4 linked regions of the Anolis sagrei genome follow. The protein of the gene in region 1 interacts with the protein of each later gene in a pairwise test. Links are inferred from orthologs where the notes say so. Each region holds a gene or a part of one and is shown in the gene's direction. Other genes may lie near its edges. The genes, in order: MTUS2, SCNM1, CEP95 and LMO4.

Evidence for each region.
Region 2: the proteins of MTUS2 (region 1) and SCNM1 interact in binary tests that used the Homo sapiens proteins (3 or more experiments, as listed by UniProt). The two-hybrid records come from large-scale screens. The link is inferred for Anolis sagrei from reciprocal best matches to the Homo sapiens genes MTUS2 and SCNM1.
Region 3: the proteins of MTUS2 (region 1) and CEP95 interact in binary tests that used the Homo sapiens proteins (3 or more experiments, as listed by UniProt). The two-hybrid records come from large-scale screens. The link is inferred for Anolis sagrei from reciprocal best matches to the Homo sapiens genes MTUS2 and CEP95.
Region 4: the proteins of MTUS2 (region 1) and LMO4 interact in binary tests that used the Homo sapiens proteins (3 or more experiments, as listed by UniProt). The link is inferred for Anolis sagrei from reciprocal best matches to the Homo sapiens genes MTUS2 and LMO4.

What each region holds. Positions count from the first base shown.
Region 1 is NC_090023.1:31,861,163-31,868,968, forward strand, and holds the start of MTUS2 (microtubule-associated tumor suppressor candidate 2), read left to right. Parts: upstream 1-4,793; 5' UTR 4,794-4,891; intron 4,892-4,901; exon of another isoform or gene 4,902-5,123; intron 5,124-7,806. UniProt on the Homo sapiens protein: Binds microtubules. Together with MAPRE1 may target the microtubule depolymerase KIF2C to the plus-end of microtubules. May regulate the dynamics of microtubules at their growing distal tip.
Region 2 is NC_090032.1:6,619,105-6,626,423, reverse strand, and holds the start of SCNM1 (sodium channel modifier 1), read left to right. Parts: upstream 1-4,312; 5' UTR 4,313-4,743; intron 4,744-4,928; 5' UTR 4,929-4,937; coding exon 4,938-4,988; intron 4,989-7,014; coding exon 7,015-7,085; intron 7,086-7,319. Other genes in the region: LYSMD1 (lysM and putative peptidoglycan-binding domain-containing protein 1), read right to left, coding at 462-817, 2,205-2,384. UniProt on the Homo sapiens protein: As a component of the minor spliceosome, involved in the splicing of U12-type introns in pre-mRNAs. Plays a role in the regulation of primary cilia length and Hedgehog signaling.
Region 3 is NC_090022.1:179,773,392-179,781,268, forward strand, and holds the start of CEP95 (centrosomal protein of 95 kDa), read left to right. Parts: upstream 1-4,867; 5' UTR 4,868-4,976; coding exon 4,977-4,998; intron 4,999-7,877.
Region 4 is NC_090024.1:153,051,156-153,059,071, reverse strand, and holds the start of LMO4 (LIM domain transcription factor LMO4), read left to right. Parts: upstream 1-4,904; 5' UTR 4,905-5,525; intron 5,526-6,916; exon of another isoform or gene 6,917-6,939; intron 6,940-7,916. UniProt on the Homo sapiens protein: Transcription cofactor. Plays a role in establishing motor neuron identity, in concert with MNX1, acting, at least in part, to disrupt LDB1-LHX3 complexes thereby negatively modulating interneuron genes in motor neurons.

The sequences.
Region 1 (7,806 bases):
ATTATTGCTCATGGTTTTAAACTGCTTTAATCTTGAAACACATTTTAATTTGAGTTGTTGTAAGTTTTTCAGGCTGTATGGCCATGTTCCAGAAGCATTCTCTCCTGAAGTTTCACCTGCATATATGGCAGGCATCCTCAGAGGTTGTGAGATCTGTTGGGAACTAGGAAAATATATCTTTGGAATATCCAGGGTGGGAGAAAGAACTCTTGTCTTTTTGGGGTAGGTGTGAATGTTTCAATTTGCCACCTTGGTTAGCATTTATAGCCTAGCAGTTTCAAGGTCTAGCTTTTTACTGCCTGGTGGAATCCTTCATTGAGAGGTGATTAGCTGTCCCTGATTATTTCTTGTCTGGAGTTCCCCTGTTTTTAGGTGTTGTTTCTTATTTACTTTTATGATTTTAGAGATTTTTTTAACACTGGTAGCCAGATTTTGTTCATTTTCATGGTTTCTTCCTTTCTGTTGAAATTGTTCACATGCTTGTAGATTTCAATGGCTTCATTAAAGGATAATAAAAACGGCCAATTGGAACATTCACACCTACCTCCAACAGACAAGATTTCTTTCTCCAACTCTGGACATTCCACAGATATATAAACCCCATTTTCCTAGTCTCCAACCTCTGAGGATGCCTGCCATAGATGCAGGCGAAACGTCAGGAGAGAATGCTTCTGGAACATGGCCATACAGCTCAAAACATTTACAACTACCCAGTTATTCCAGCCATGAAAACCTTCAACAATATATTTTTAATTTGCTCAATTGCTCGATATGCTCTTGTTTAACAAAACTATAACCAACAATATAATTTAGTTTGACCTGTCTCTTTCCCTGAGAACTCATGATAGAATAAACAGAGAAAATAAGATAAAATAGAATAAATGTCTAATGGGTCCACTTTAGATAGGATTAGCAATTGGATTTAATCCAGGCCATGGAATCATGCAGCCTTCCAGATGTTGTTAGACTATAGTTTCCTAACCAGCATAATAATCAATGATAAAAATGCTGGTAATTGTAACCCAACAACATCTGGAGAGCCATGTGATTCTCACTCTTAATTTAGATTTAAGCAAACTGTTTCAAAGCAGCAACAAAAGCTGCTATTTATGGAAATGTGGGAATTTATTCTGCAAGGCATCTTGGAAAGGTTACTCCTTTGGGCTACAACTCCCTGAAAATCTGTCAATCTGCTTCACTGCTTAAAAACTTTAAATACTTATTCCTCACTAAAAACAACAACAACAACAACAAAAAACAATCTTCAGTACAGTCTTTACTCTTCATCTTGGGTGAACATTAAAAGCGGAGTCATTTGGCTTCTTTCATTTCTCTGAATTTTGACCTGATTAGGCAGTACTCCAGTGCACAACTGCCCTAGCAATAATGAGAAGGGTTGCTCCCAATTTAATCACTACATGACTGGACACACCACCAGCTACAGCAGAGCGCCCATTCTGCAAGCAAAACTATGTTCTGAATCCATATAGCCTTTTTGTATTTCTTGTATCAGATTAAACTCCTGCTGTGATAAGATGCCCAAGCAGATTTGACTCCTGTTTCACACGTTTTGACTCTTGCTTGACATTAGCAAGGACATTATCTTGTGAGTACAGAACTTGAATTTTTCCATTCAACTTACTATTTTTTTCCCTGGTAAAGCATTCCAAAAGGCTGAAATTGGAAGCATTTACACTTTGAAAGGTCCTTGTTTGAGTCTGAATAGCAAACACATGCTTTTGGTGAAGTTGTTTCCAATGCCTTCTTTTGTCAGCTGGGCAGTGAATCTGCTTGAACTGGGATTTGAAAGGAACTCTCCAAGGTGCTGAACCTATTTTGAGACTAAGGTTCAGAACCATGAATAGCTCCTTTAAGGTGGAGTAGGCGGTTCATTGCTACACTGTCATGTGAGCTAAGAGTTGCCAGCCATTCTTTATCCCAGAATAAATGTTCTCTCAGAATGCCATTGACAGAACTTGAAAGTAGCTACTTACAAGTAACTATTTGTAATGAATTGTCAAAGGCTTTAATGGCTGGAATAACTGGTTGTGGCAGGTTTTTTGGGCTGTGTGGCCATGTTCTAGAAGCATTATCTCCTGACGTTTCTCCTGCCTCTATGGCAGGCATCCTTAGAGCTTGAGAGGTCTGTTGGAAATCAATTTGTAATTTGTAATGAATTTCTTTCTATAACAGTTAAAGTTTCAAGTAACAATTCTAATTTGATGAGACATAGCTTCATTCCTTTTACAATAGATCTGAAACTTTTAGGGTTATTTTTTGTTATAGGGTATGATCTCTCTAAATGGTGGAGGAGGAATATTATATAGCTGGTTTGTGATCAGTTGTCCCCAGCTCTGCTGTTATGTGGAGATGATGGTAGATGGGAGGAGACTCTATTTTGTATCAGAGGCTAGCATCCTGTAGCACCCGTATTAACACACACACACTCTCTCTCACACACCAATGTACTTTTCAATTACTTTCTAAGAAACTGTAACTTTGAAAAAACTATAACAGTAAATAGTAGCGCTTGAGTATAGTTCTTTAAATTCCACATTATGAGAAATGTTCTGATCAATCGAGCCAGATCTAGCACACAATGCCTGCTCTACCTCCAACCAACCTACTCAGGTCTTGCAGACTGAAGTCTTGAAGACTCTTGAAGACTCTGAAGACTTAAGTGACTGAGAAGGAAAAGGAATTGTGGGAGTTGAAGTCCAAAACACCTGGTGGGCCCAAGTTTGACCATGTCTGAGATATATTGAGCATGGTGATCAGATCATGATATGAATAAACATGGAGCTGCTCCATTCACCCTGTGATATGGATATGGAGAGGGGGAGAATGGATAGGAGCACATATGAGATAAGGGCCATCTGGACTGGGGGGAAACAAAACTGTAAGATAACAATGATGGGAATGAAATGTAGCCAGTAGGAAGGGGAATGGGTTAGGGTAATGATATACAAAGAATTTGGTGGGGAATCTTCAGGACTGTCTTCCTATTGCCAATGGTAAGACAGAAATAAAGCTGTATCCAAGGATTTGCCTTTGTGGATGTGCTCTTATTCCAAGAGCTTTCAGGTTCTGACAGGTTGGAGGTAGAGAAGGCATGGGCCCTCCAGGTGTTTTGGAGTTCAACTCCCACAATTCCCTCAGCTGCTCTATCTCCAGCCAACCTACTCAAGTCTTGGAAACTCAAGTCTTGCACACTCTTGCCGACTTAAATGGCTGAGGGGAAAAAGGAAAGGGCACAAGGCTGTTAGGAATTGTGGGAGTTGAAGTCCAAAACACCTGGAGGGCTGGAGTTTTCCCATGCCGGTGATAGAGTGACTTGGAAGTCTCTTATTCATGGGGTTACCATAATTTGGATTGGTGGCAAACAACAACAACAACAATGCTATTATCTCCAACCAAGCTACCCAGGTCTTGCAGACTCAAGACTATGACTTCTTTGACTGATTCCATCTATGTGTAATGTAGCTTTCCTCTTTTACTACTGCCTTCTACCGTGTTGGTGAGTAGGAAAAGAGATTTAAATATGGGCTCAAAGCCAACCTTAAAAACTCTGGCATAGACACTAAGAACTGGGAAGCCCTGGCCCTTGAGTGTTCCAGCTGGAGGTCAGCTGTGACCAGCAGTGCTGTAAATTTTGAAGAGGCACAGATGGAGGGTAAAAGAGAGAAACATGCCAAGAGGAAAGCGCGTCAAGCCAACCCTGACCGAGACCACCTTCCACCTGGAAACCAATACTCTCACTGTGGGAGAAGATACAGATCAAGAATAGGGCTCCACAGTCACCTACGGACCCACCGCCAGTACACCGATCTTGGAAGACAGTCTTACTCGGACAACGAGGGATCACCTAAGTAAGTACCTTACCAAGTATTATTATAATTTTTTTATTGAGTTATGTCCTTTCATGATATGACCCAATCTCCATTTAGTCACCTTGGCATCTAATTTTCAGCCTTGATTTGCTGTAGAACCCATAGATTTGTCTTTTTTGAAGTCCACGTAGCTTTCCTCTTTTCCTACTGCTTTCTACCTTACCAAGTATTATTATAATTATTGTCGAAGGCTTTCATGGCTGGAATCACTAGGTTCTTGTAGGTTTTTTCGGGTTATAGGGCCATGTAGTGAGGTCTACCTCTGAGGATGCTTGCCATAGATGCAGGCAAAACGTCAGGAGAAATGCCTCTAGAACATGGCCCTATAACCCGAAAAACCTATTATTATAATTTTCTATTGAGTTATACCATCTCATGATATGCCCCAAACCCCACAGTCTCTGTTTAGTCACCTTGGCATCTAATTGATTTGCTGTAGGTCCCATTGATTTGCCTTTTTAAAAAAGACCACAGTCTCCCTAGGAGCATAATTCCCCATTTCCAAGGTGCACACACCCTTCTCTTTCACAACCCTGAAACACTCCCAAAAACTCCTACATTCGCTGCCATAGCAACTAACCCACACAGATATGGGCCATATTTGGACTCCCATCTGTCTTTGGGAAGGGAGGGGGTCCTCGCAAGTGGAAGCAGCCTTTCTCTGCTTGTTTGTGAGCCCTTCTGCCCTTTCCAGCCTCCATTGGGGGGTTGGAGGGGATGGCCCTAGTGGTCTCTCTCAACTCTATGAGTCTGTGGGCTGATTGGGCGACGGATGGGCCTCGGATCCACACATCCTCCATGAGGAAAGCCCAGGCGAGAGGCGACAGGGATGGTTCAATAGTCCTGGATGGCCGGGAATAACCTCCCAGTCCGAGGGGACGGGAGCGCACAGCAGTCCGGGGAGAGGCTTTCCCTTTGCTGCCGGCGGAGGGCGCTCTTGCTCCCCCATTTGGACGCCGCAGTGGGGAGAAACAACCCACGGAAGGAGCCCAGCGCTTTGTGTGAGTGTGGGATTGCGCGCGTATATAATATGAGCTCTTCCCCAACATCCCTCTCCGCCGGAGCTGCTGCCACGCGTCTGGGCGGGATGTAATCTCGAGTGGGAGGGAAGGAAGGAGCCACGTCTCGGAGGGGAAACCGAGGGGGAGGTGGGCGGGGAAGGGTGTGTGCGTGCGTGTCTTCGGGTCCCTTTGTCCTGCCGAGGGGAGGACAGCTCCGTCGCAGAGCCAGCAGGTAAGTCGCTGCTCTTCTGGAGCATCCTTCCTCCGACTTGGGTCTTGGGTACCAAAGCTGGAGCAGGTCCTTCTGGCAAGGTGGGAAGCAACTGCGCGTGGGACTTGGAGCGGGGGCCACTTCAGGGGTCTTTCCTTCTGCCCATTGGGAGGGTAAGGGTTTGGGGAAAGTGCTGCCTTCATGCCGGGGAGCCCCTCCCAGCCCCTCCGACTCTTTCAAGGGAGATTGGATTCCTCCTGCGCAAGTTTTGGAAACCCTGCCCTTGAGTGTTTTCCTCCTTCGCCTTCAGCCACTTGCTATCCCAGAGGGGAAGCTTAAGACTCTAAATTAGCCGAATAGACACCGAAAGGCAGGCACAGAAGCAAAACAACCCCACGCCTGTCTCGCCCCCTCCCTTCCCCTCCGCACATTGTCCCTTGCCATCACTCACCTATTCTTCCCCAGTTTTCTCTCTCTCTTCTGAACGGGACAAGAAGGCGGTGGCCCTTTGCACACCAGCCTGTTATCTCTTCTTAGCATCCATCCTCGTTGTCATCCCCCCTCTCCATGTCTTTGTAGAGCTCTCTGTGTATTGAGTCTTTTTATAGCAGAGGAACCAAACTGAGGAGCAGGATTGGATTTATTTTTTTGTAATGTCAGGGGTGACTTGAGAAACTGCAAGTCGCTTCTGGTGTGAGAGAATTGGCTGTGTGCAAGGACGTTGCCCGGGGGACACCCGGATGTTTTGATGTTTTACCATCCTTGTGGGAGGTTTCTCTCATGTTCCCACATGGGGAGCTCAAGCTGAAAGAGAGCTCAAGCTGAAAGAGAGCTCATCCGCACTCTCCCCAGATTCGAACCTCTGACCTGTCGGTCTTTAATCTTGCCACTGCACCCCCAGGAGCTCCTAATGGGTTTGGTCATCAGAAAGCTCTTTCCAGTTGTCCTTTTGGACTGCACAAGAGAGAGTTGTGCATCTGGGTGATGATGGGGAGAGGGAAGGAGGTTGATGAACTCTTATATACCTTCCTTTCTGGCTGCAACAGGCACTAACTTCAAATGTTTACCTGCAATATATGTGTATGTTGTTGACTTTACCCATGCTGGTTGTTTACAGATGTCACATGCTACGCTGGTCAATTGGCTGGCTTGTGTTCTATATGTTTTTCAAATCACGCATTTTCCAATGTTGGAAATGAAGATCAGAGAGTGGTGGTGGCTTGAAAAGGCTTTGCACAAGTGACTTTTCCGTGCTTTTCTCCAGAGATAATCTCCCAAAGGATGTATTGCATGGATCAGTGTTGTCGAGCTTGGAGGTGGGAGGAAGGTGGAATAGAGACTGGGATCAAGTGGTAGATTTACAGATGATTGGTACTGAGATTCCAATGCACAGTGATTTCATAATCGCAGCATGAAAAGACTTCCAGATTTGCCTGCCGAGATGGAAGAAAGCTTGGGCAGGGATCCAGGAGTGGGTTTGCATATGACATGCTTGTGTGAGCTCAGTGCTGGTACTGAAAACAAATGTCAGGGTAGTACATGTGCCCGGAGGCACTCCACCCTCTTCGTTCTAATGCTTGCTATACAATTCTGTTGTCTCCCCCAGTTACCCACAAACTCCAGAGCCATTGTTTTGCACCAGGATCCACTTGGTAGCCATGTCTAGGGCACAATTCTGGTAGATCAACAACAAAAACAAAGTAGACTCTGTAGCCCTGAAGTCTGAGCATCCCATCTCAAATTTCATCATAGTGATATAGTGCTAGCTCTACACAAGCTGCTGTTTTACAGTTCCAGTGCCCATTCTCACCTGACAGATGGGAATAATATTATGTCTTGATCTATCTTCAGTGTTGTTGCATTATTATTGAAGTCATGTCTATAAAACACTACATACTTCCTTTTCTCCTCTCTGTTATTGTTGCTGCTGTTATTTGAAAATGCCAATTAACTGCCTGCAAGTATTTTTCCTATCATAACAACATACATTGGAGCAGCTGCTTCATACTCCAACTCAGGAAAAATAGTTTTGCTGTCCTTCCCATATCTTTTAATTTATTTTATTTATTATTTATCATATTTATACCGCGCCCTTCTCTCCCCAAAGTGGACTCAGAGCGGCTTTACACATAGGCAACAATTTGATGCCATCAAAACGACATATAGTTAAAATAAACAATTACATTAAAACCAAGAAATCAAACATCTAAACATTATACCAACTGTGAAAACCACGCAATCCACAATTGTAGTCCAGAGCCATTCCAGTAGTCATTGCACATATTTTGTATCCATTTATTGCACTACAGTTGTTATCTGAAGGCTTGGTCCCAAAGCCATATTTTTGCTTTCTTTCTGAAGGCCAGGAGGGAGGGGGCTGATTTAATATCACTGAGGAGGGAGTTCCACAGCCAGGGGTCACCACTGAGAAGGCCCTGTCTCTCGTCCCCACCAAGAGCACCTGCAAAGAAGGTGGCAAAGAAACCAGGGCCTCTCTGGTCAATCTTAACCTCTGTGATGGTTCATAGAGGGAAATACATTTAGACAAGTAAGCTGGACCAGAACTATTTAGGGCTTTATAGGCTAAAGCCAGCACTTTGAATTGTGCTCAGTAGCAGACTGGCATCCAGTGCAGCTTTAACCCCCCCCCCCCCCCCCACAAACAAGCAAGCAGACCTCACAACCTCTGAGGATGCCTGCCATA
Region 2 (7,319 bases), on another chromosome or scaffold:
TGGCACACAGAACTCCCGTGACCAACCAAAAATACTGGAAGGATTTGGTGGGCATTGACCTTGAGTTTGGAATTTGTAGTTCACTTACATCCAGAGAGCACTGTGGGCTCAAACAATGACCAAACTTTGCACGAATACTCAATATGCCCAAATGTGGAGTTTGGGGAAAATAGCCTTGACATTTGGGAGTTGTAGTTGCTGGGATTTATAGTTCGCCTACAATCAAAGAGCATTCTGAACTCCACCAACAGTGGAATTGAACCAAACTTGTCACACATTATTAATTTTATTAATAATAAATAAAATAATAATAATAAAGCATATATTATTACTATTATTATTATTATTGATCCTCATCCCCTTTCGCAACTTGGCTCGCTTACACCGAGCCACCTAAATCTGGGTTGCATCATGTAAAAGCCATCGTTTTCAAATTACAAGTGAGACGAAAAGGCACTCACAGGCTCTCCCCGTCCCGCAGCTTCTTGGTGGCGGCCTGCTTCGAGCGGCGGATCTCAGAGTCCAGTTTGAAGAGGAAGTCCGAGGCTGAGAGGTCATGTTTGGGGACGCCGCTCGAGGACCCGTTCTTCCGAGGGTGCTTCTGCTTCTTGGGGGTTTCGGGGACTCCAGGTCCCAGCTCATCTCCCGCTTTTGCGGTTGTGGCCTGCTCTCCCTCCTCCTTCTCCTCTTCGTCCTCGTCAAGGTTCAACCCGTTCGACAAGGACTTCGGCTCCATCGGCACTGGGATGAAGAGAGTCTTTTTCAGGAAAATGGAGTCGTTGGTGTAGAGACGGTTGGCCCGCTTGATCTGCTCGGTCTGGAATCGGATCAGAAAGGCGGTTAAGCGAAACGATAGCTCAATGCTCCTCTATCTATCTATCTATCTATCTATCTATCTATCTATCTATCTATCTATCTATCTCTGTCGTCTATCTGTCTGTCTATCCATCCATCCATCCATCCATCAATTCATCCATCCATGTCCTCTCTCTCTCACTCTCTCTATCTATCTATCTATCTATCTATCTATCTATTTGTCAATCTATCTGTCTATCTATCTATCTATCTCTGTTGTCTATCTATCCATCCATCCATCCAACCAACCATCTATCCATTCATCCATCCCTGTCCTCTATCTATTTCTCCATCCATCCATCCATCCATCCATCCATCCATCCATCCATCACCTCTATCTATCTATCTATCTATCTATCCATCCATTCATCCATCCCTGTCGTCTATTTCTCCAACCATCCATCCATCCATCCATCCATCCATCCATCCATCCATGTCCTCTATCTATCTATCTATCTATCTATCTATCCATCCATCCATCCATCCAACCATCTATCCATTCATCCATCCCTGTCCTCTATCTATTTCTCCATCCATCCATCATCCATCCATCCATCCATCCATCCATCCATCCATCACATCTATCTATCTATCTATCTATCTATCTATCTATCTATCTATCTATCAATCCATCTATCAATTCATCCTTCCCTGTCCTCTATCTATTTCTCTATCCATCTATCCATCCATCTATGTCCTCTATCTATCTATCTATCTATCTATCTATCTATCTCTGTCGTCTATCTATCTATCCATCCATCCATCTATCTATCCATTCATCCTTTCCTGTCCTCTATCTATTTCTCTATCCATCCATCCATCCATCCATGTCCTCTATCCATCCATCCATCTATTTATCTATCTATCTATCTCTGTTGTCTATCTATCTATCTATCTATCTATCTATCTATCTATCTATCTATCTCTCCATCCATCTATCCATTCATCCATTCCTGTCCTCTATCTATTGCTCTATCTATCCATCCATCCATCCATGTCCTCTATCTATCTATCTATCTATCTATCTATCATCTATCTCTGTCGTCTATCCATCCATCCATCCATCCCTGTCCCCTATCTATGTCCTAGTGTCCAGAACAGCCTTCCCCCTCCTCAATGGGAAATCCTTTCAAATATGTAAACATGACTCTCAACTTTCACTTTTGCTTCTCCAGCTCCCAAAGTCACTCCTTCTAGTTTTTCAGACCTTTGATCACGGCGATTGCTCTTCTCAACGAAAATAATGTTATGGTTAGGGGGTCAACACAACTTCTTTGACATGGACTGTAGTCAAGCCACGCCATGGATACTCATGCTATGTATCCATGCAATGATGTGCCAAGACTCACCGTGACCCCGTACTTGACCGCCAGGCCTTGGAGGGTATCCCCAGGTTCGAGGCGATGCTCCAGCCGCCTTTCCCGCACGGGCGAGCTGACTGTCTTGACCAGGCTGCCATAGGATCGGGTCCGGCTCCCTTGCAGCAACCCGGCTCCTCCGGGGGAAGCGGGCTTCGACGGAGAGGACATCCCTTTTCCCCCCAAAATAAATAAATCCCTAAAGACCTTTCCAGGGCGTGACCCTAAAGGGCCCTAAAACTTGACTCCAAAGGTCTTTTGAAGGCCCTAAAAGCTTGATCCTAAAGGTCCTTCCAAGACCCTAGAAGTTTGATCCGAAAGGTCCTTCCAAGACCCTAGAAGCTTGACCCCAAAGGCCTTCTCCAAGACCCCAAAAGCTTGACTTCAAAGATCTTTCCAAGATCCCAAAAACTTGACCCCAAAGGTCCTTCCAAGGCCCTAGAAGCTTGATCCCAAAGGTCCTTCCAAGTCCCTAGAAGCTTGACCCTAAAGGCCTTTCCAAGACCCCAAAAGCTTGATCCTAAAGGTCCTTCCAAGTCCCTAGAAGGTTGACCCCAAAGACCTTTCCAGAGACCCAGAAGCTTCACCCTAAAGGGCCATAAAAGCTTGACCCCAAAAGGTCCTTCCAAGTCCCCAGAAGCTTGATCCGAAAGGCCTTCTCCAAGACCTCAAAAGCTAGACCCCAAAGGTCCTTCCAAGATCCCAAAAGCTTGACCACAAAGGCCTTCTCCAAGACACCAGAAGCTTGACCCTAAAGGTCCTTCCAAGTCCCTAGAAGCTTGACCCTAAAGGTCCTTCCAAGACCCTAAAAGCTTGACCCTAAAGGCCTTCTCCAAGACCCCAAAAGCTTGATCCCAAAGGTCCTTCCAAGTCCCTAGAAGCTTGATCTGAAAGACCTTCTCCAAGACCTCAAAAGCTTGACCCTAAAGGTCCTTCCAAGTCCCTAGAAGCTTCACCCCAAAGGTCCTTCCAAGTCCCTAGAAGGTTGACCCTAAAGACCTTTCCAGGGACCCAGAGGCTTCACCCTAAAGGGCCCTAAAAGCTTGACCCTAAAGGCCTTCTCCAAGACACCAAAAACTTCACCCCAAAGGTCCTTCCAGGTTCTTAGAAGCTTGATCCGAAAGACCTTCTCCAAGATCTCAAAAGCTTGACCCCAAAGGCCTTCTCCAAGACCCCAAAAGCTTGACCCCAAAGGCCTTCTCCAAGACCCCAAAAGCTTGACCCCAAAGGCCTTCTCCAAGACCCTAAAACCCAGCAAGACCCCTAAGTTTGGACCCCACTTCTTGCCATGGTGGAGTGGCCCTTCTAAAGGCCCATCGTCCCCGTCTCAAAAGGTAAACAAAGCCCTGCCAACCTTGATCTATCTCTCTAGGTATCTACCCAGGATCCACAAACCTCCCCGCCAGCTTTGATCAAGCCTTTTCCAATCCAATTCAGATCTATTGATCTCCAATCCCAATCAATTTCCTGGCTCATAAGAGGAGACCACAACCAATGGTCTCCTCTTGGACACCCAACCCTATGTAGATATCTATATATATCTATATAATATATATATATTGATTATAATTATATATAATTATATATGCAATATAATTCTATATATATATATAGAATATAATTATATATAAATAGATATAATTTCCCCAGAAATATGTCTGTTTTGGTTCCAGCCACAGACAGATGTCAATCACCCATCACCCCTGCTGCCAATCAATAAGGATCAATGGCTCCAAAGAGGATACTTATCAATAGAGAGAGATTCTCCCAGCCAAGAAGCTGTTGGACCCAAAGCCTGCCTTGCAACCGACTCCCAAGCCCCGCCTCCCCTCCCGCGCAAAGGATCCTGGGATTTGTAGTCTTTGCACTCAAAACACTTTGGAAGCCAGGAAAATAAAATCAAACCCTTTCTCTCCTTTCCTTCCAATTTGAAACCCCCAAATCCAGGCAATTTGCACCCAATCCAGGCAAATTTTGCATTTAGGGGAAAGATATAAGTGATTTTGGGAGAAAGGACTACATTTCCCATCATGCTCCATTTTGAGCAAGGCATGATGGGAGATGTAGTTCTTTCCCCTCTCCAGGAAGTAAACAAGGGAAAGAAAGAGCCCAGAGGCATTTCGGGCAATGCAGTCTCTTGGAAGCAAAGCCCTGATTGGTGCAAGCAACTGAGAGTTGTAGTGCATGCTGGGAGTTGTAGTGCACACTGGGAGTTGTAGTCCTGGGATGTTTGCAACGCTAGAAGGTAAACATTGCATTGTTTGGAGGTGATGCAGTTTCTTAGAAGCAGAGCCCTGATTGATGCAAACAATTGGGGGTTTTAGTGCATGCTGGGAGTTGTAGTGCACAATGGGAGTTGTAGTCCTGGGATGTTTGCAACGCTAGAAGGGAAGCAGAGATTATTTGGGAGCAGTGCAGTCTCTTAGATGCAGTGCCCTGAGTAGTGCAAACAACAGAGAGTTGTAGTGCATGCTGGGAGTTGTAGTGCACAATGGGAGTTGTAGTCCTGGGATGTTTGCAACGCTAGAAGGTAAGCATTGCATAGTTTGGGGGTGATGCAGTCTCTCAGAAGCAGAGCCCTGTTTGGTGCAAGCAATTGGGGGTTTTAATGCATGCTGGGAGTTGTAGTGCACAATGGGAGTTGTAGTCCTGGGATTTTTGCAACTTTAGAAGGGAAACCTTGCATAATTTGGGGTGTTTTTTCTTTTATTTTAGGGGGAAAGGATGTCCTTCAAGAGGGAAGGAGACGACCCCAGCCAACTCAACGTCCTCAAGGTGAGTGGGAAAGGAAGTGGGGGCAAAAGAGGGGTCCATTTGGGGGTAAAATGCCATATTATTCCTTTGGAAAGGGTCCATGCTGTTTCCCATGTTGAATAGTTGCCATTTCCTGCAAAATCCAGATCCTATGTAAGCCACCCAAAGCACTCTGCACATGCTCAGTGGCTGCCTTGCCTTTTAGTTTGCTGGAAAGCACAGGGCACCTCTGAGCCAAGGACTATGTAAACAAGCCACCCAAAGCACTTTGCACATGCTCAGTCGCTATTTTGCCTTGCCTTTTTGCTTGCTGGAAAGCACAGGGTGCCTCTGAGCATGTACAGAGTGCTCCCAGCCTGCAGAGTTTGGCCACAGTGCATGTACACTGCATTATAATATAATATATTGTATATGCATATAATGTTTATAATATTATTAGCTGTACCTGCCACGCGTTGCTGTGGCCAAACTTCCCTCCTTCTTTCTCTCCTTTCTTCCTTCCTTCTTTCCTTCCTTTCCTCTTTTTCTTTCCCTTCTTCTTTCTTTCTTCCCTACCTGTTTCTTTTCTCGCTTCCTTTGCTCTGTGGTTCCATCCTTCCTTGTCTCCTTTCTTCCTTCCCTCTCTCTTTCTCTCTTTTGCTCCTTCTCTCCTTCTTTCCCTCTTTCCCTTTTTTATTTCATTCTTTCTCTTTCCTTCCTTCCCTCCTTTCTTCCTTCCTTCTATATACCCTTCTTTCCTTCCTTCTCTCCTTCCCTCTTTCTCTCCCTCCTTCTCTCCTTCCTTCTCCATTTTTTCCCTTCCTTCTCTTTTCCCCTCCTTCTTCTCTCTCTCCTTCCTTCTCTACTTTTCTTTCTTTCCTTCCTTCTTTCTCTCCTTCCCTCCTTCTTTCCCTCCTTCTCTCCTTCCTTCTTTCTCTATCCTTTTTTCTTTCCTTCTCAATCTTCCCTCCTTCTTCTCTCCCTCTTTCTCTCCCACCTTCCTTCTCTACCTTTCTTTCTTTCTTTCCTTCTTTCCTTCCTTCTCTCCTTCCCTCTTTCTCTCCTTCCTTCTATTTTTCCCTCCTCCTTCTCTCTCTCCTTCCTTCTCTACTTTTCTTTCTTTCCTTCTTTCACTCCTTCCCTCCTTCTTTCCCTCTTTCTCTCCTTCTTTTTCTATCCTTCTTTTTTCTTTCCTTCCCTCCTTCTTCTCTCCCTCTTTCTCTCCCACCTTTCTTCTCTACCCTTCATTCTTTCCTTCCTTCTCTCCTTCCCTCTTTCTCTCCCTCCTTCTCTCCTTCCTTCACCATTCTTTTTTTCCTTCCTTCTCTTTTTCCCTCCTTCTTCTCTCTCTCCTTCCTTCTCTACCTTTCTTTCTTTCCTTCCTTCTCTCCTTCCCTCTTTCTCTCCCTCCTTCTCTCCTTCCTTCTCCATTCTTTTTTTCCTTCCTTCTCTTTTTCCCTCCTTCTTCTCTCCCTCCTTCCTTCTCTATCCTTCTTTTTCCTTCCCTCCTTCTTCTCTCCCTCTTTCTCTCCCTTCTTCCTTCTCTGCCTTTCTTTCCTTCTTTCTCTCCCTCCTTCTCTCCTTCCTTCCTTCCTTCCTTCTTTCCGTGTATGTGTTGTGTGTGTGTGTAGGTATATAGGTGTGTTTGTGTATATATGTGTGGTTTTGCGCGTGCATTGTAATGTTTTGGTTTTGTGTTGTTTTTTGGCTTTTAAGTCCCTTCTGTTGTGTTTTTCATTGTTTTTAGGAGTGATGGCCACTCGTTGGCCTGAGAGGCGTCTTGTGTCCAAATTTGGCTTCTAGGAATTGTGGGAGTTGTAGTCCAAAACACCTGGAGGGAGAGCCGAAGTTTGCCCATGCCTGGTATAGATGCACTGTGGAAATAACTGGGGTAGCAGTGGCCAAACTCTGCAGGCTGGGTGCACTCTGTGCATGCTCAGAGGTGCCCTGTGCTTCCAGCAGGCAAAAAGGCAAGGCAAGGCACCCACTGAGCATGTGCAGAGTGCTTTGGGTGGCCTGTTTGTCTTAAAGTTTTCCTTCCTTTTAAAATCTTTTTCTTCTCCTCCAGAAAAGAAGAGTTGCGGACCTTTTGGCCAACTATATCCCGGAAGACGAAGCCTTGCTCCTGAGAGATGGCAGGTCAGCATCCCTCTCTCTTCCTTCCTCCTTTCCTCCCTTCATCCCCTCCCTTTGCTTCCTCTTTCCCTTTCCTCCTTCCTTCTCCCAATTTGTTTTTTCTACCATTCTTCCTCCCATCTTCCTTCTTCTCATCTCTCTCCTTCCTTCCTTCTCTCAATCCCTTCTCCTTCCTTCCTTCCTTCCTTCCTTCCTTCCTTCCTTCCTTCCTTCCCTCCTTCCACCTATCGTACTCCT
Region 3 (7,877 bases), on another chromosome or scaffold:
TAACATTTAATTTACAGGTTTAAAAAGGCCTAAGGAAAAGTAACATTTTTAAAAGCAGATGGGAAAATATTTATTGAAGAAACATTGATAACTGACGATGTGATTGAATAATTATTTCAGTAAGGAGATGCTGAGGATATACGTTTTTATTGTTTTTATTGACTTGATATGAATTTATATTTTATATGCTAACGTTTTAAGTGTCACAATGTCTGCAGCCCCTCCCACAACAAAGAATTAAGGTCAAATTGCATACCAATACACAAATAAATATAGTAAGCAATTATATACATAACAAATAACCAGTAGACTAGAGGCTTGAGAAGGTTGCTGTTTCCATCAGGAAGAAGATTGTGTATAGAAGATTGTATGCTATACATAGCACACAAATATTACGAGATTCATAATAACTTTTCCCTCAAGATAGGTTTGATAAACTGCAGTTGTACAAGCTAAGTATCCAGATTAACTGTGTGTATCTATGTTGTATAATTAATCCAGTTTGAAACCACTTTACCTGATGTGGCCCAGTTCTGTAGGATGATGGGATTTGTAGTTTGGCAAGATCCCACAGAAGGCTAAAGACCTTGGGAAACTATAACTCCAGTGATTCCATCACATTCAGTGGTATCAGACTGCATTGATTCTACAGTGTAGATGCATCCAATGACAGCTGCACAATCAAACTGGGCCAACAGTATCCCCAGGATTTTATAAAGACCTTGCTGTGAAGTCAGAGGGGCACATAATTGTGATAAATCTATTATGAAGCAATCTAAAGGCATTCATGATCCCCTGAGCAGTTAGATGCTGCTCTTCCTCCTCCTAGTTGGGTTCCTACGCTTTTAATTGTTCAAATCCAACACAGCTTCAATAGATAAACTTTCTCCTGTCACTCCATTGCTTTGCTGGGGTAACTAGAATTTTCTAGATTTGACTTGTCAATTAAAAGCATAGTAGTCCCAGCTGAAAAAAGTATACCGACCTTTGAGATGTTCCATCGTGAAATCACTCCAAAATAACACCCCAAAAAGCTCAATTACACTAGAACAAAGGCACTCACAAGCAAGTCTATATTTTCCCTGTACCGCTTGCATGATTATAAGACGAGGCCATTACAGGCAGTCCCCAAGTTACAAAGAAGACAGTTTCTGTACGTTTATTCTTAAGTTAAATTTGTATGTAAGAACACATACATTTTGAAATGTAACTCCAGCCACATATTTCTATAAGCTTTGGACAGCATAGGGAAAAGTTAATAGCCCTGTGGTGTTTGTTTTGCTGCCCGTGACCCTGTTCAGAAGATTTCACCTCACCTTCTGTCCCTGTGATAATTGGATTTTGAAAAAAAAATAGTTTGTTGTGGAAACAAAGATTGGGGAGAAAGCTTAAGTGGAAACACCTTTTTCCCACTATAAGGAGTGAATTTTCTTTCCGAAGAGTAGATTTCTCTCACTTCCTGTTGTCTCACCCTCCTTAACTATGAGTCATTTGTAAGTCTGATGTTTGTAATTTGGGGACTCCCTGTTGTAATTTTCTGCATTATCATGTCAAACCTTGTCAATCGAATCTGCAAAGCAATGTTTTGGCAATAGTAGCAATTTATCCACTTATCATCACCATCAGTTACATCGATTGCAGAATAGTTGAAACATACAAAAGATCAACATTAACATAGAAACAATTTAAAATGTACAAGTCAATGGGTAAAAACCATTCAAAATGGTGCAGTCTTATAAAATTTTGCTCTGGTTGAGTTTCAACACACAAAACAAGACAATGTCCTCTTAAAAGTTATTTTCTTAGGTTACTATGTAATCCAGTTTCTGAATCCAGATGATTTGCTTTGAACTGGATTATCAACAGAGGCTGGACCTACGCTGCCATATAATCAGGTTCAAAGCAGATCATCTGGACTCAGAAAATTAATTACATAGCAGTATATTTTTTTTGCAAACTTTGAGTACTAAAGGTCTTGGAAACCTTTAGTGCTCAAAGTCTGCAAAAAAAAAAAAAAATTACAGGGCTTTGCCTGTCAATACAAAGACACCCAGGAGGGGTTAACATGTTGCCTGTTTATATGCCGGAAGTGAAGAGAGCAATGGAAAAGGTGTAGCAGCAATTCTAATACATTATTTTATATTGCTCGTAAATGAAAACATGAAACTGAAGGAGGAGAGCACTCACAATATTGATGGAACAGAGTACAGCTGGAAAGAAAGTGTAACCCCCCTTTAGACAATGGATTAAATGGGGCTCTTGCAGTACTAGGCAGTCACTGCATTGCCATCTTTCACAAGGGAAGAGAATACAACCGCCACAGAGGGCCTAGATTCAAATAATTCAAATTATAGGTGCTGCTACACTGTAGAATTATGGCAGTTTGACACCACTTTCACTGCCATGGCTTAAAGCTATGATACCATAAATACTGTTGTTTTTCAAGGTTTTTCTTTAGCCTTCTCTGCAAGAGTGCTGTGTCCTCACCAAACTACAAATTCCAGGATCCCAAGGCCTTAGTATTTTAGTAGGGTCTCCAAAATTATTAATTCCACACATACAACTTCCATTCTTCCATTCATTCCCACACATAATTATTAAATTAACATTTATCAAATCTGTACATTGAATTTCTTATTACAGTGCTGTGTCCTCACCAAACTACAAATCCCAGGATCCCAAAGCATTGAGCCATGGCATCTAAAGGGATATCATGATGCACTTATTCCACAGTGTAGATGCACTAAAAAGTAGGAACAGCCTCTTACCCCATTCTGTTTGACCCTCAACTTTCCCAACCACCCCCTTTTCCTGCCAAGCCGACTTCGTAAGGCTGCTATGCAGTTAAGGCCCCATCTACACTGCCCTATAATCCAGTTTCTGAATTCGGATTATCTGCTTCAAATTGGATTATATGGCAGTGCAGATCCAGCTTCAAGCCCCTTCCACACAGCTGAATAAAATCCTACATTATTTGCTTTGAACTGAAATATATGGCATTGTGGACTCAGACAACCCAGTTCAAAGCAGATATTTTGGGATTTTCTGCCTTGATATTCTGAGTTACATGGCTGTGTGGACAGGCCCTTAGACCCAGGTTTGGGTGGAGGGAAAAATCTAAGGGCCCTTCCACACAGCTGTACAAAATTCACATTTAACTGGATTGTATGGCAGTCCTTCCACACAGCCATATAATCCAGAATATCAAGGCGGAATAACCCAAAATATCTGCTTTGAACTGGGTTATCTGAGTCCACACATAGATAATGTGGGATTTTCTGACTTGATATTCTGGGATATAGGGCTGTGTGGAAGGGTCCTGGGTTATCTGTTTCCACAGTGCCATTTATCCCAGTTAAAAGCAGAAAATGTGGGGTTTTATTCAGCTGTGTGGAAGGGGCCTCAGATAACCCAGTTCAAAGCAGATAATGTGGGATTGTCTGCCTAGATATTCTGGGTTATAGGGCTGTGTGGAAGGGCCATCAGATAACCCAGTTCAAAGCGGATATTGTGGGATTGTCTGCCTAGATATTCTGGGTTATAGAGCTGTGTGAAAGAGCGAGTTCAAAGCAGATGTTGTGGGATTTCCTTCCTTGATATTCTGGGTTATAGGGCTGTGTGGAAGGGCCCTCAGATAACCCAGTTCAAAGCGGATATTGTGGGATTGTCTGCCTAGATATTCTGGGTTATAGAGCTGTGTGAAAGAGCGAGTTCAAAGCAGATATTGTGGGATTGTCTGCCTAGATATTCTGGGTTATAGAGCTGTGTGAAAGAGCGAGTTCAAAGCAGATGTTGTGGGATTTCCTTCCTTGATATTCTGGGTTATAGGGCTGTGTGGAAGGGCCCTCAGATAACCAAGTTCAAAGCAGAAATTGTGCTATTGTCTGCCTAGATATTCTGGGTTATAGGGTTGTGTAAAGGGCCCTCAGATAACCCAGTTCAAAGCAGATATTGTGGGATTGTCTGCCTAGATATTCTGGGTTATAGGGCTGTGTGGAAGGGCCCTCAGATAATCCAGTTCAAAGCGGATATTGTGGGATTGTCTGCCTAGCTATTCTGGGTTATAGAGCTGTGTGAAAGAGCGAGTTCAAAGCAGATGTTGTGGGATTTCCTTCCTTGATATTCTGGGTTATAGGGCTGTGTGGAAGGGCCCTCAGATAACCCAGTTCAAAGCGGATATTGTGGGATTGTCTGCCTAGATATTCTGGGTTATAGAGCTGTGTGAAAGAGCGAGTTCAAAGCAGATATTGTGGGATTGTCTGCCTAGCTATTCTGGGTTATAGAGCTGTGTGAAAGAGCGAGTTCAAAGCAGATGTTGTGGGATTTCCTTCCTTGATATTCTGGGTTATAGGGCTGTGTGGAAGGGCCCTCAGATAATCCAGTTCAAAGCGGATATTGTGGGATTGTCTGCCAAGCTATTCTGGGTTATAAAGCTGTGTGAAAGAGCGAGTTCAAAGCAGATGTTGTGGGATTTCCTTCCTTGATATTCTGGGTTATAGGGCTGTGTGGAAGGGCCCTAGGTCTATATTATAACCGTGCAGTTTTTAAGAGGAGAGATAGGATTGAAATTAAGTAAAACAGCCTAACATGGAGGGCAAAGGTCAAGAACAGCCACCATCATTATACCCTCCTCCTCACAGGCACCCAGTTCCCGCCCCAGCGGCCTAAATTGCGCGCGCCACCCTTTCTCAGAAGCGCGCGCCGCGTTGCCACGGCAACGGGACCAGGCCGAGGAAATAAACAGCCCGGCCGGCTGTCTCTTTTATCATTGGAACACAAGGCCGGAAGTAGGACACTGACTCGAGTGATTGCGAATCTACGAAAGCAACCACAGGAAGCCCCGCCTCTTCCTCTCCAGACCGGCCAATCCCTTCGCAGAAGGCCGTGGGGCGGTGAAGGGTTTAAATCTCTTCAGGCGAGGGGCCGGGGGTGGTTGGATATCAGTTGAAGAAGGCAGGCCTGGGCGGAACCGTGACATGGGCCCCACTGAGGAAAAAGGTGGGCCCTCAGGGAAGGGGAGGGGGTTATTGTCCTTGCTCAGGAGAGCTCCTTGGGGTGTGTTTGCTCCCTGAGGTAGAGCAAGGACGTCGTAGAGCTAGAGGGGGAATGCCTGGGCCACTCAAAGTGCACCTACACTGTAGAATTCATGCAGTTTGAGCCCGCTGCAACTCGCTCCTGTTGTGAGAGAATTGGCCGTCTGCAAGGACGTTGCCCAAGGGACACCCGGATGATTTGATGTTTTTGTCATCCTTGTGGGAGGCTTCTCTCATGTCCCCGCATGAGGAGCTGGAGCTGACAGAGGGAGCTCATCCACCTCTCTCCGGATTTGAACCTGCGACCTGTCAGTCTTCAGTCCTGCCGGCACAGGGGCTTAACCCACTGCGCCACCGGGGGCTGAGTGCTGTGGAGTTATGTCATTTGTATTTTTTACTTTTAAGGACTTAGACTCTGACATAGATTAGGTATCCCCTTTCCTCAATTCTTGGGACTAGAAGTGTTGGAATACTTGCATGTGCATAACGAGATATTCTGTAGGCGGGTGTTGTATGTCTCATATACACCGTACTCTTATAACACTAGCTGTCCCCTGCCAGGCGTTGCTGTGGCCCAGTCTAGTGATCTGGAAAATAAATTAATGAGAAAGTGTTGGTTTCTAATATATGTAATTTCTTTATGCTTGTGGGTAAACAGTACTTTTTGCTGTTTCTTTGTCAGTGTTGATGTGGAGATGGTCTGGTTTGCCCACCCTGGAACATGCAAGATATCATTGTCCTTCTTTAGGGGTCCCTTTCAAATCTATGATACTATATCTCTGTGCGCGTTAATCATATCGATCTATCTATATCTATGGCTGGATGGCTCTTTGTCATCTTTGTCAGGAGAGCTTTGATGACGTTTTCTTGTCCTGGTGAAGGGAGTTGGACTGGATGGCCTTAAATATTTTCTGTTGGTCATGGGGGTTCTGTGTGGGAAGTTTGCCCCGATTCTGTCGTTCAGAACACTCTTTGATTGTAGGTGAACTGTGAATCCCAGCAACTACAACTCTCAAATGTCAAGGTCTATTTCCCCCAAACTCCATCTGTGTTCATATTTGGGCATATGGAATATTCGTGCCAAGTTTGGTACAGATCCATCATTGTTTGAGTCCACAGTGCTCTCTGAATGTAGGTGAACTACAACTCCAAAACTCAAGGTCAATGCCACCAAACCCTTCCAGTATTGGGTTGTTGTAGGTTTTGCTGGTTAAAGCAGTGCTACTCAAAGAGGTGATCTGTGAACCAGTAATGGTTCATGAGCCATCAGATTCTGGTTCTTTGTGAGTTTCCAAGAAAGCAATAGTTTAAGCAATGGTCACAAATATGGTACTACTCTCTGGCATATCAATGACAAGAATCCTATGCTTGTTCCTCCCATCACATAGATAAAACCCATCCTTCTTAGCCCTGTCCTCACAATAAATACAAAGTCTCTTCCCTACTTTATGGGCTACATGGCAGCAGGAGATCTGATGAAATATTTTGCTATTGTTATGCTAAGGCATATAGTTTCCATTCTTTTGAATGAAAAATTGAGCTTCCATTTTAAAATATTTTACATAGTTTTGATCTCTGTTATAGATTGTATTTTGCATTTGGCTACAGGTTCTCCTTATCCTCACCCATTTCCCAAATCCCAGACTTCCCAGCTTCTTGATAGATTGGACCTTGCATTTTTAAATGTGCCGTAATTCTGTATATATTTTTGTTAAAATTGAATTTGTTAGTATACCTTTGATTGCTTAGTTTTTGTATAGTATGGTATCCATTTAACAGCACTATTTATTTATTTATTTATTTATTTATTTATCGTGTCATCCGCAACCAGAACATTGTATTACATTTTTAAAAATAATTTTTATTGATTTATCACATTTATTACATACTATTGCATTTCGTACATCAGCCTCTTTAACATGTTGTTTTATTATTTTGCTTTGACATTTCCCCCACTTTTCTCTTTTTTTTGAGAATTGTGTTACAAAAAGAGAATTGTGTTACATTTCAGAACAAAACAAACAGATTAAAAAAAACAAACACAGCACTGTATCATCTTCATTTTTAATAATAACAAAACACCAATGTTAATATTGCACATCCTTGAACATTTTAAATTCTAAATACTATATACTATAATAGTCACTTAGAATTAAATCCCAATACATTAAATGGGAATGGCAGTTATGTGCTTTCAGTTCAACTCTGGCTTTTGGCAGCCCTATGGCAAGATTTATTCAGAGCAGGTTTGCCTCTGCCAAAGTCAGTCAGTCAGTGGGTTTCCATGGCTGAACAGTGATTCAAATGCTGGTCTCCTGGACTCTTGATCCATTACTCAAAACACCAGATCATGTTAGTTTTGAGGCTTATTCTTACTGGGAAATACAATGAGCATCAGCTGGGTTTAATTTCATGCTGTTCCCAAAAATAGCAAAATCCCTGGTTGCTTATTATCCGATTATGGTATATTAAAATGATGTCCCTTATATAACATGCCAAAGCAAGTTTTCAGTTTTGAAATTTTACACACACACACATGAATGACTGAATCTATGGATACAGAATTTGTGAATGTAAATGACCAAGTGTAGATACAGAAATTCAGCCCAAATTGGATTTTGTATCCTCTTGTCATTAAATCTTTTTTGAAGTTACTTCTGATTAGTCATGTATGTGATGTTACTGTAAAAAAGTACTGTTCTTGAAAAACAGAACCTATAGTCCGTTTATAGTTTTTATTTCTTGGCCTGTTCATTTGGCACTAGACTATATTGCCATTTGGACATAGATAGATTTGTTGCTTGGATCCCCTTCCAAATAGGAGGGAAAATGTGCAAAATTTGA
Region 4 (7,916 bases), on another chromosome or scaffold:
TAAAATTTTATGGGGTATTAATAACAGCGAGTTACAGTAGCATTAATTTTTAAGCTGAACTCCCCATTGATTTCAACAAGGAGTACTTAAAAATCAATGGCCACTGCTTTGATGAGTGGGACGCTGCTCACATGGGTGGGTTTTGAAAAAAAAACTTTTCCAATCAGAGGATCGAATTTTGTCCCAAGGAGCACAGCACATAAGGAGCTGGTGAAGTGTTAAGTGTGTGAATCCAAAATTGCTCTCTGCAATTTCCGGGGAATACGCAGCCTAGTAGGCCTCACCCCATATTACTTTAATATCAACATAATCAGCATTAATACCTCTGGTTTGCTCTTTAGAGTAGTCCCACTCCATTGACATCAGGCTGCCTGCCCTGGAGTAAGTGATTTGCAGAGGTCTCTCTTGATTATCTGCACCTTCTTTACTGTCTTATTCAATGTTATTCATTATCTAAATCCAAATTAACTGCACTAACATGGTTTACAGAAGGAAGAGAGACTTCTAAAGCATGGGAATTTTGTTCCAAATAGATCAACATTTTTTTTTACATACATGAATCTTTGGATTCAAAAGTCCGAGTTCCTCCATGATCAAAGAAGGCTTGCAAATACTTATCTGTTCACCTTGGACAGGTAAGCAATCTGTCTAGACAACCAGACAGGAAAGCCGATTCTTTGGGGCCAGAAATGACTGAGAAAAGTGCCTGTAAATGAGTGATTTGGTAATTTTTCTCAGCAGACTTGAAGGCTAAATGATCGCTTGTATTATAAACATAAAGGATATTAGTCCAGTAGTCTGTATACGTACAATGAGACTTGGAGAGGGAGATCCAAAGTTATGTTCACCCTGCTTAACCAATTAACCTGTTTATGTTATTTATTAACATGAATATTTTTCTTATTATCTAGCATTATGTTTACGTTTAATGTATTAAAATTTACATTAAAATATTCGATTTATTTTTAAAATGTTAGATTATATTATTGTCTGGCATGGAAATGCTGTATCAGCCTGCTCAAATTTTAAGATAAGCGGGGAGGGCTTTCTCTTGGTCCCACCCTGTGACAAGGACTAAAAGTGAATCTACACTGCACAATTAATGCCATTTGACACCACTTTAACTGCCATGGCTCAATTCTATGGAACCCTGAGTACTGTAATTTTGTGAGGTACCAGCACAGAGATGGCTAAACACGACAACTCCCATGATTTCACAGCATTGAACCATAGCAGTTACAGTGGTGTCAAACTTGATTATTTCTAGTGTAGATTTACTCAAAGAAGATCTTCTTTATGGCTTCTCCTAGGCATTCCCTCCTACAAGAATCTTGTTTGGTTCTTCTTCCACCTGCAGGCAAAGACCTTTTTGTTTAGGCCTCTGGCTGCAAATTTGCTGTTGTAGAAAGATCTCTTAATGGCATGTGTTGTTCTTCCATATTCATGAGTCATGTTTTAAAGTAGTGCCTTTTAAAACATATTATTTTGAAATTTTGCACCATACATTGTTTTATCTATACTCCGTTTGTAAATATACTGAAAGCCACCTTGAGTTCCATATTGGAAGAAAGGTGGGATAGAAATTACAGTAATTCATGTACTTTAGATATATTATTTTCAAAAAGTGGCTTACAAACTACTCATCATTTCTAAGTTGGGATGCTCCAAGTTTTTGCACTAATATGAAAAACCATGCTGTACTGATTTGTTGTATATCTGTAGGAAATATATATATATCTGCTGCCCTAGATAATAGGATTGGAGCAATAGGTTCAAAGAACAAGAAAGGAGATTCTACCTGAACATTAGGAAAAACTTTCAGACCGTGAGAGCTGTTCAATTGTGGAACTCTCTGCCTCTGTGTGTGACGGAGGGTCTTTCTTTGAACGCTTTTAAACAGAAGTTGGGTGGCCATCTATTTGGAGTGCTTGATTGTGCTTTTTCTGCAGGGCAAGGGCTTGGGCTGGATGGCCCATGTGGTTTCTTCCAACTCTATGATTCTATGAAAAATATTGACTAGGAAAGTCCTACGCTTGTTGGAGCAGACTACAAAACCTGTTGTGTCTGAAAGCACCTTTCTTGGTGTGATAAAGTACAAGGAGGTACAAAGGAGGACCTCTTGGGCCCCATCTGCATTGCTATTTGCAAATGGTATTACATGATCAGTGTAAACCAGGCATGGGCAAACTTCGACCCTCCAGATGTTTTGGACTTCAACTCCCACAATTCCTAACATTGTGAGAGTTGAAGTCCAAAACACCTGGAGGGCTGAAGTTTGCCCATGCCTGGTGTAGACTCATATAACACTGTTAAACTGCGTTAGATGAGTCAACACTGATCATATAATGCCATTTCAAACCTCCTGTCATCTGTTGTGTAGTCCACTGGGTGGCTCTGGCCTAGCTAATACACAGGGCACTTTTGCAGACAGGTGCTGCACACCTCGAAAAGCATATGAAACACAGACTCCAGATAAAGCTATCCCTGGTCTGAAAAGCCTGGGATCAGAGGTTTAGTTCCCACTTCCCTCCGCCCCCGATTTTTGAAATACTTCTCTTTGCACATCCGTTCACAATTGGAGGTGAGACCGGAGTCTAAACATGGTGTTCATTTATGTCTCATATATATCTTTTAAGGTCTGAAGGCAATTTTATACACAGTATTTCAAATAATTTAGTGCATGAAACTACGTGTGAGTATAGTGACCCATCAGAAAGCAAAGGCATCCCTACCTCCGCCACCCAAGTGGATGACTTTTTAATATTTCTGGATGTTGGAATCCCAAATAAGGGATGCTCAATGTACATGGCTGGAGTTCTGTTTGATAAGAGAAGAGCATTCTTCCCTCTGAGCTTAGGAAGCATATATTTATGTAGAAATTGTTGGAGCCTTCAAGGAATCATTGAGTGTGTGTGTGTCAATTGCAAAATAAGATGCATGAATCTGATTGGTCAGGCAATGCCTGAGCTGAGCCTGGGACTTTTGGTTACCGTTACATTTTTGTTCAGCAGAGCTATGCAGGTGTCCAGCAGAGAGAGAAGAGTAAAGCACCCAGAGAGATAGCTTAGAGTGTACTCTTGCTTAATGAGCTGCTGTAGGAATTTCTCCACATGGACAAAGACCATTTTAAATCTCTCATAAAAGGACATTATGTGAGTTGATGCAACTGAACACATTGTAAATATGTTGTTCTGATTGACAAAGAGTAAACTACTTTTTTTTTCGCTGTTCATCTGCGTGGCTTATTTTCTTTCTCTGGCAAGGCAGTGTGTGAGCTGATCAAATGTGAACTACACGTGGTTTATTTTACATTACGCCACAGAAATGACAACTAAATAAAATGGGATTTTATTGCAGAGGAAGCATCCCTATAAACAGTGATAGAAGCTTGTCCCATCAACCCTAGTCAGTACAGGCAGTCCCTGAGTTACAAGTATCCGACTTACAAACGGCTCATAGTTAAGAACAAGGATGAGACAACAAGAAATGGTTATATTTTATGGTATGCTCTATATTGTTGCCTGTTGGAAGCCATCCTGAGTCCTTCTTCGGAGGTTGAGAAGGACGGGGTATTAATGTTTTAAATAAATAATAAATAAGTGAAAGAAATCTACCTCTAGGATGGGAAATTCATTCCTGAAAGAGTTATCATTGGAAAAGGTGTCTCCACTGAAGCTGTATTACGAATTCTTGCTTCCGCAAGCCAAATTTTTTGATAGGGCTGTGTGGAAGGGCCTTTGGGACATCTACAAGAAAGGACAAGAAACTACAAGAAAGGAGATTCCATCTGAACATTAGGAAGAGCTTCCTGACTGTGAGGGCTGTTCAGAAGTGGAACTCTCTGCCCCAGAGTGTGGTAGAAGCTCCTTCTTTGGAGGCTTTTAAACAGAGGCTGGATGGTGCTTTGTCAGAAGTGCTTCTTGGACTGGATGGCCCATGAGGTCTCTTCCAACTCTTTGATCTGCACAGTGGAATTCATGCAGTTTGGCCCTGCTTTAACTGCCAAGGCTCAATGCTATCCATTTCTGGGAGTTATAGTTTGTTGATGCTCCTGGGGAGGAGAATCATAGAGTTGGAAGAGACCTCATGGGCCATCCAGTCAAACCCTCGGCCAAGAAGCAGGAAAATTGCATTCAAAGCACCCCCAACAGATGGCCATCCAGCCTCTGTTTCAAAGCTTCCAAAGAAGGAGCCTCCACCACACTCCGGGGCAGAGAGTTCCACAGTCAGGAAGTTCTTCCTAATATTCAGATGGAATCTCCTCTCTTGTAGTCTGAAGCCATTGTTGTGCGTCCTAGTCTCCAGGGAAGCAGAAAACAAGCTTGCTCCCTCCTCCCTATGACTTCCTCTCACGCATTTATACATGGCTATCATGTCTCCTCTCAGCCTTCTCGTTTTCAGGCTAAACATACCCAGCTCTTTCAGCCGCTCCTCGTAGGGCTTGTTCTCGAGACCCTTGGTCATTTTAGTTGCCCTCATCTGAACACATTTCAGCTTCTCAACATCTCCCTTCAATTTTGGTGGCCAGAATTGGACACAGTATTCCAGATGTGGTCTAACCAAGGCAGAATAGAGGGGTAGCATGACTTCCCTAGATGCAGATACTAGACTCCTATTGATGCAGGCCAAAATCCCACTGGCTTTAGAGAAGGCTCTAAAAAAAACAGAGGAATGAGGCAGAGTAGTTAAAGCGGTGTGGAAGCGCGTTAAGAGTAGAGAGAAGCACCCTTCTCTCTATTCGATTCCTCCTCCTCCCCCCTCCTGCTTCGGCCTTTTCCCCGCCCCCTGGTTCCTTCGCCCTGCTCGCGATTGGGCGGTTTTATTATTCCGCCTGAACAAGCGGCGCGGGGATTGGGCGAGGCGCTGTGACGCGGGGGGCCGAGCTGCGGACTTGTTGGGATTTTGCTCTGTCAGTAACACATGGGCCAGAAGAGCGCAGAGGCGGAGGAGGGAGAGGAGCAGCAGAAGCCGAGCAAGCAGAGCCAGAGCCAGAGCCAGAGCGGGGCCTCCCTGCGCGCGTCCCGCCGACCACAGCGACGCCACCGCGGCCACAACTCCTCCTCTTCCCTCCACTTCGAGAGCAGGAAGGAGCGCCGACCCAGCCTGGGAGCCGGAGCTGTTCCGCTTCCCGCCCGCTGAACCAACCCGCCGCTTTCGGGACTTTTAAACACCGAGGAGCCCATTTTGGAAGAGGAAGAGGAAGAGGGAGGACCCGGGCTCGGAGGAGGAGCAGCAGCAGCAGCAGCGGGCCAAAACTTAGCCGCCGAGGAAGGGAAGGAAGGAGGGAAGGAAGCAGGAAGGAAGGACGGACTCACTCGCTTGCTTGCTGACTCCGGAGGCGAGAGACGCGAGAGAAGGGGCGCTGCTTCTCCCCCTCTCGCCCGCGCCGTGCGGGCTCGCTCGCTGCCTTGCTCCGTCAACAACCTCCCCCTTTTCCCGCCTCTCCGCTTTCTGGCCACGAAGAGCCTCCCCGCCTTTCCTCCACCACGTTATCCTCGGCCTCTTGCACCATAGAGGGGAAACAGGTACGGCGGCTTCGGCGGGCCCTTGCCCTTCCTTTCCCTTGCCCTTGCCCTCCTTCCTTCCTCCCTTCGTCTCCCCGCATTTGGAAGCCAAACAAGCCCGTCAACTCCCCCCCCCCTCCTTTGCACTTCTTTCTTCGCAGCTAAACACTCCTTGGGAAACAGTGGCAAGAGAAAGAAATCTCAAGTGAGGAGGAGGAGGAGGAGGCATTTTCTTTCCTCCCTCCCTCTCTCTCTCTCCCCCCGGATCGAGCTGATTTCAAAACAAGCCGTGAATTAAAGCATCCCATTATTATTATTTTCAATTTTTGGAGTTGCAAGCTGTGTCTCTATGAATAGTCTCTGTCAAAGGGCTCTCTCCTTCTCTATTTCTCCCCTCCCTCTATTTCTCTCCTTTCTCTCCCTCTATTTCTCTTCTTTCTCTCTCTTTCTCCTCTCCCCCTCCCTCTTTTTTCTCCCCCTCTCTCCTTCTCTTTCCCCTCTTTCTCCTCTCTCTCCCCCCTTCCTCTCTTCTTTCTCTTCCTCTTTTTTCTCTTCCTCTCCCCCTCTCTTCTCTCTCTCTCCCTTCTCTCCCTCTTTCTCCTTTCTCTCCCTTCTTTTTCTTTCTCTTCTCTCTCCCTCTCTCCCCCCTTTCTACCCTCTCTCTTCTTTCTCTCCCTCCCTTTCTCCTTTCCCTCTCCCGCTCTTTATTCTCTATCACTCTCCCTTCTTTCTCTTCTCTCTCCCTCTTTTTCTCCTCTCCTTCTCTCTCTCCCTTGCTTTCTCCTCTCCGGTCTCTCTCTTCTTTCTCTCCCCCTCTTCTTCTCTTTCTCCCCTCTCCCTCCCTTCTTTCTCTTCTCTCTCTCTCTCTCCCCCTTTCTAAACTCTCTCACTTCTTTCTCCCCCCCTCTCCTTTCCCTCTCCAGCTCTTTATTCTCTCTCACTCTCCCTTCTTTTTCTTCTCTCTCCCTCTTTCTCCCCTCTCCTTTCTCTTCCTATCTTGCTCTTTCTTCTCTCTCGCTCTCCCTTCTTTCTCCTCCCCAGTCTTTCTCTCCCCCTCTCTTTCTTCTTCTCTTTCTCCCCCTCTCTCTCCCTTCCTTCTTTCCCTCTCTTTCTCCCTCCCTTCCTCCCCCTCTCTTTTTCTCCCTCTGTGTGTGTTTCGCCTCTCCTTTTTGTTTCATTGCCTCTGTTTCCAGGACCCGAAATGGCTGTGTAATTACCAGAGCGAGGCTAGTTCAGTTAAAAGCTTTTCCTCCTCTCTGTCTCTCTCTTTCTCTCCCTGTGTGTGTGTATTTTTTCTCTTCCTTCTTTCCTGCCACCTCCCCAACTCTGCCTGAAACTTGATCAGGGCCCCCATCCTTCCTTCGTGAGCGAGGGAAGGAGTCACTTTCTGGTCAGTCCTCTTGATTCATCTCTTTTAGATCTAATCAGCATTAAGGTATTGCTTGTCCTTAAGAGCTTTGGCTTAATGGGGTTACTGGGTGCTTCTGTCAGGGTAACGTTTCCCCTTTAGGTACAATATTTACTTTTTCTTTTCCCACATAGACCCTGGTGGACAAGGCACAAGTGGGTTTGCATTTGAGGGGGACACTTTTGGGGTTCTTTACAGGAGGTGTGGAAATAGGATTTGTTTCTAATCAGAAAGTCAGAAAAAAAGGCCAGGTTCGTATTGCTGGAAATGGTAACAAAAGGCCATTTCGTGAGTTTAAATGCATCAGAAATCAATTTACATAAAGGTATATGATGCATTCAGAGAAATGCAATGCTAATGGCTTTTAGAGTGGTTCTCTTTCCCCCAAGTCTCGGGGTTTTTAGTTACAGTCTTAATTGGTGCAGTTCGCAGGCTGGTTTATTGTGTGGTCAACTGAACCATATGATCAGGAGTTATTTGGAAGGAAAACCTGCTTCTCTCGCTCTCTCTCTCTTAAAAAAGGCCTATTTTAAGGAAACTGCTGTTGTAACTAAGTTGAAAAAGTTTGCTATTCTGTTTCCTCCTATGTGTTGTTATAGCTGAATGCCTTAAAGTGAGCAGGGACCTTTAATGAAAGGAGAAACACTGCTAAATTGACAGTAAATAACTTGATATTTTTGATATCTGAATGCAGGCATGGGCAAACTTTGGCTTTCCAGGAGTTTTGGACTACAACTCCCACAATTCCTGGCCTCAGGCCCCTTCCTTTTCTCCCTCAGCCGCTTAAGCGGCTGAGGGGGAAAAGGAAAGGGCCTGAGGCCAGGAATTGTGGGAGTTGTAGTCCAAAACACCCGGAGGGCTGAAGTTTGCCCATGCCTGGTATAAAGGAATGAAGAAACCCAAGTCTGTTGGACTCCTCCGGGTGCATTAATCAGTTTCAAGCAAGCTTTATGAATTGTTTCCATTATTAATCTCCCCAGTGCCCTGCTTTTATGAAGAATGTA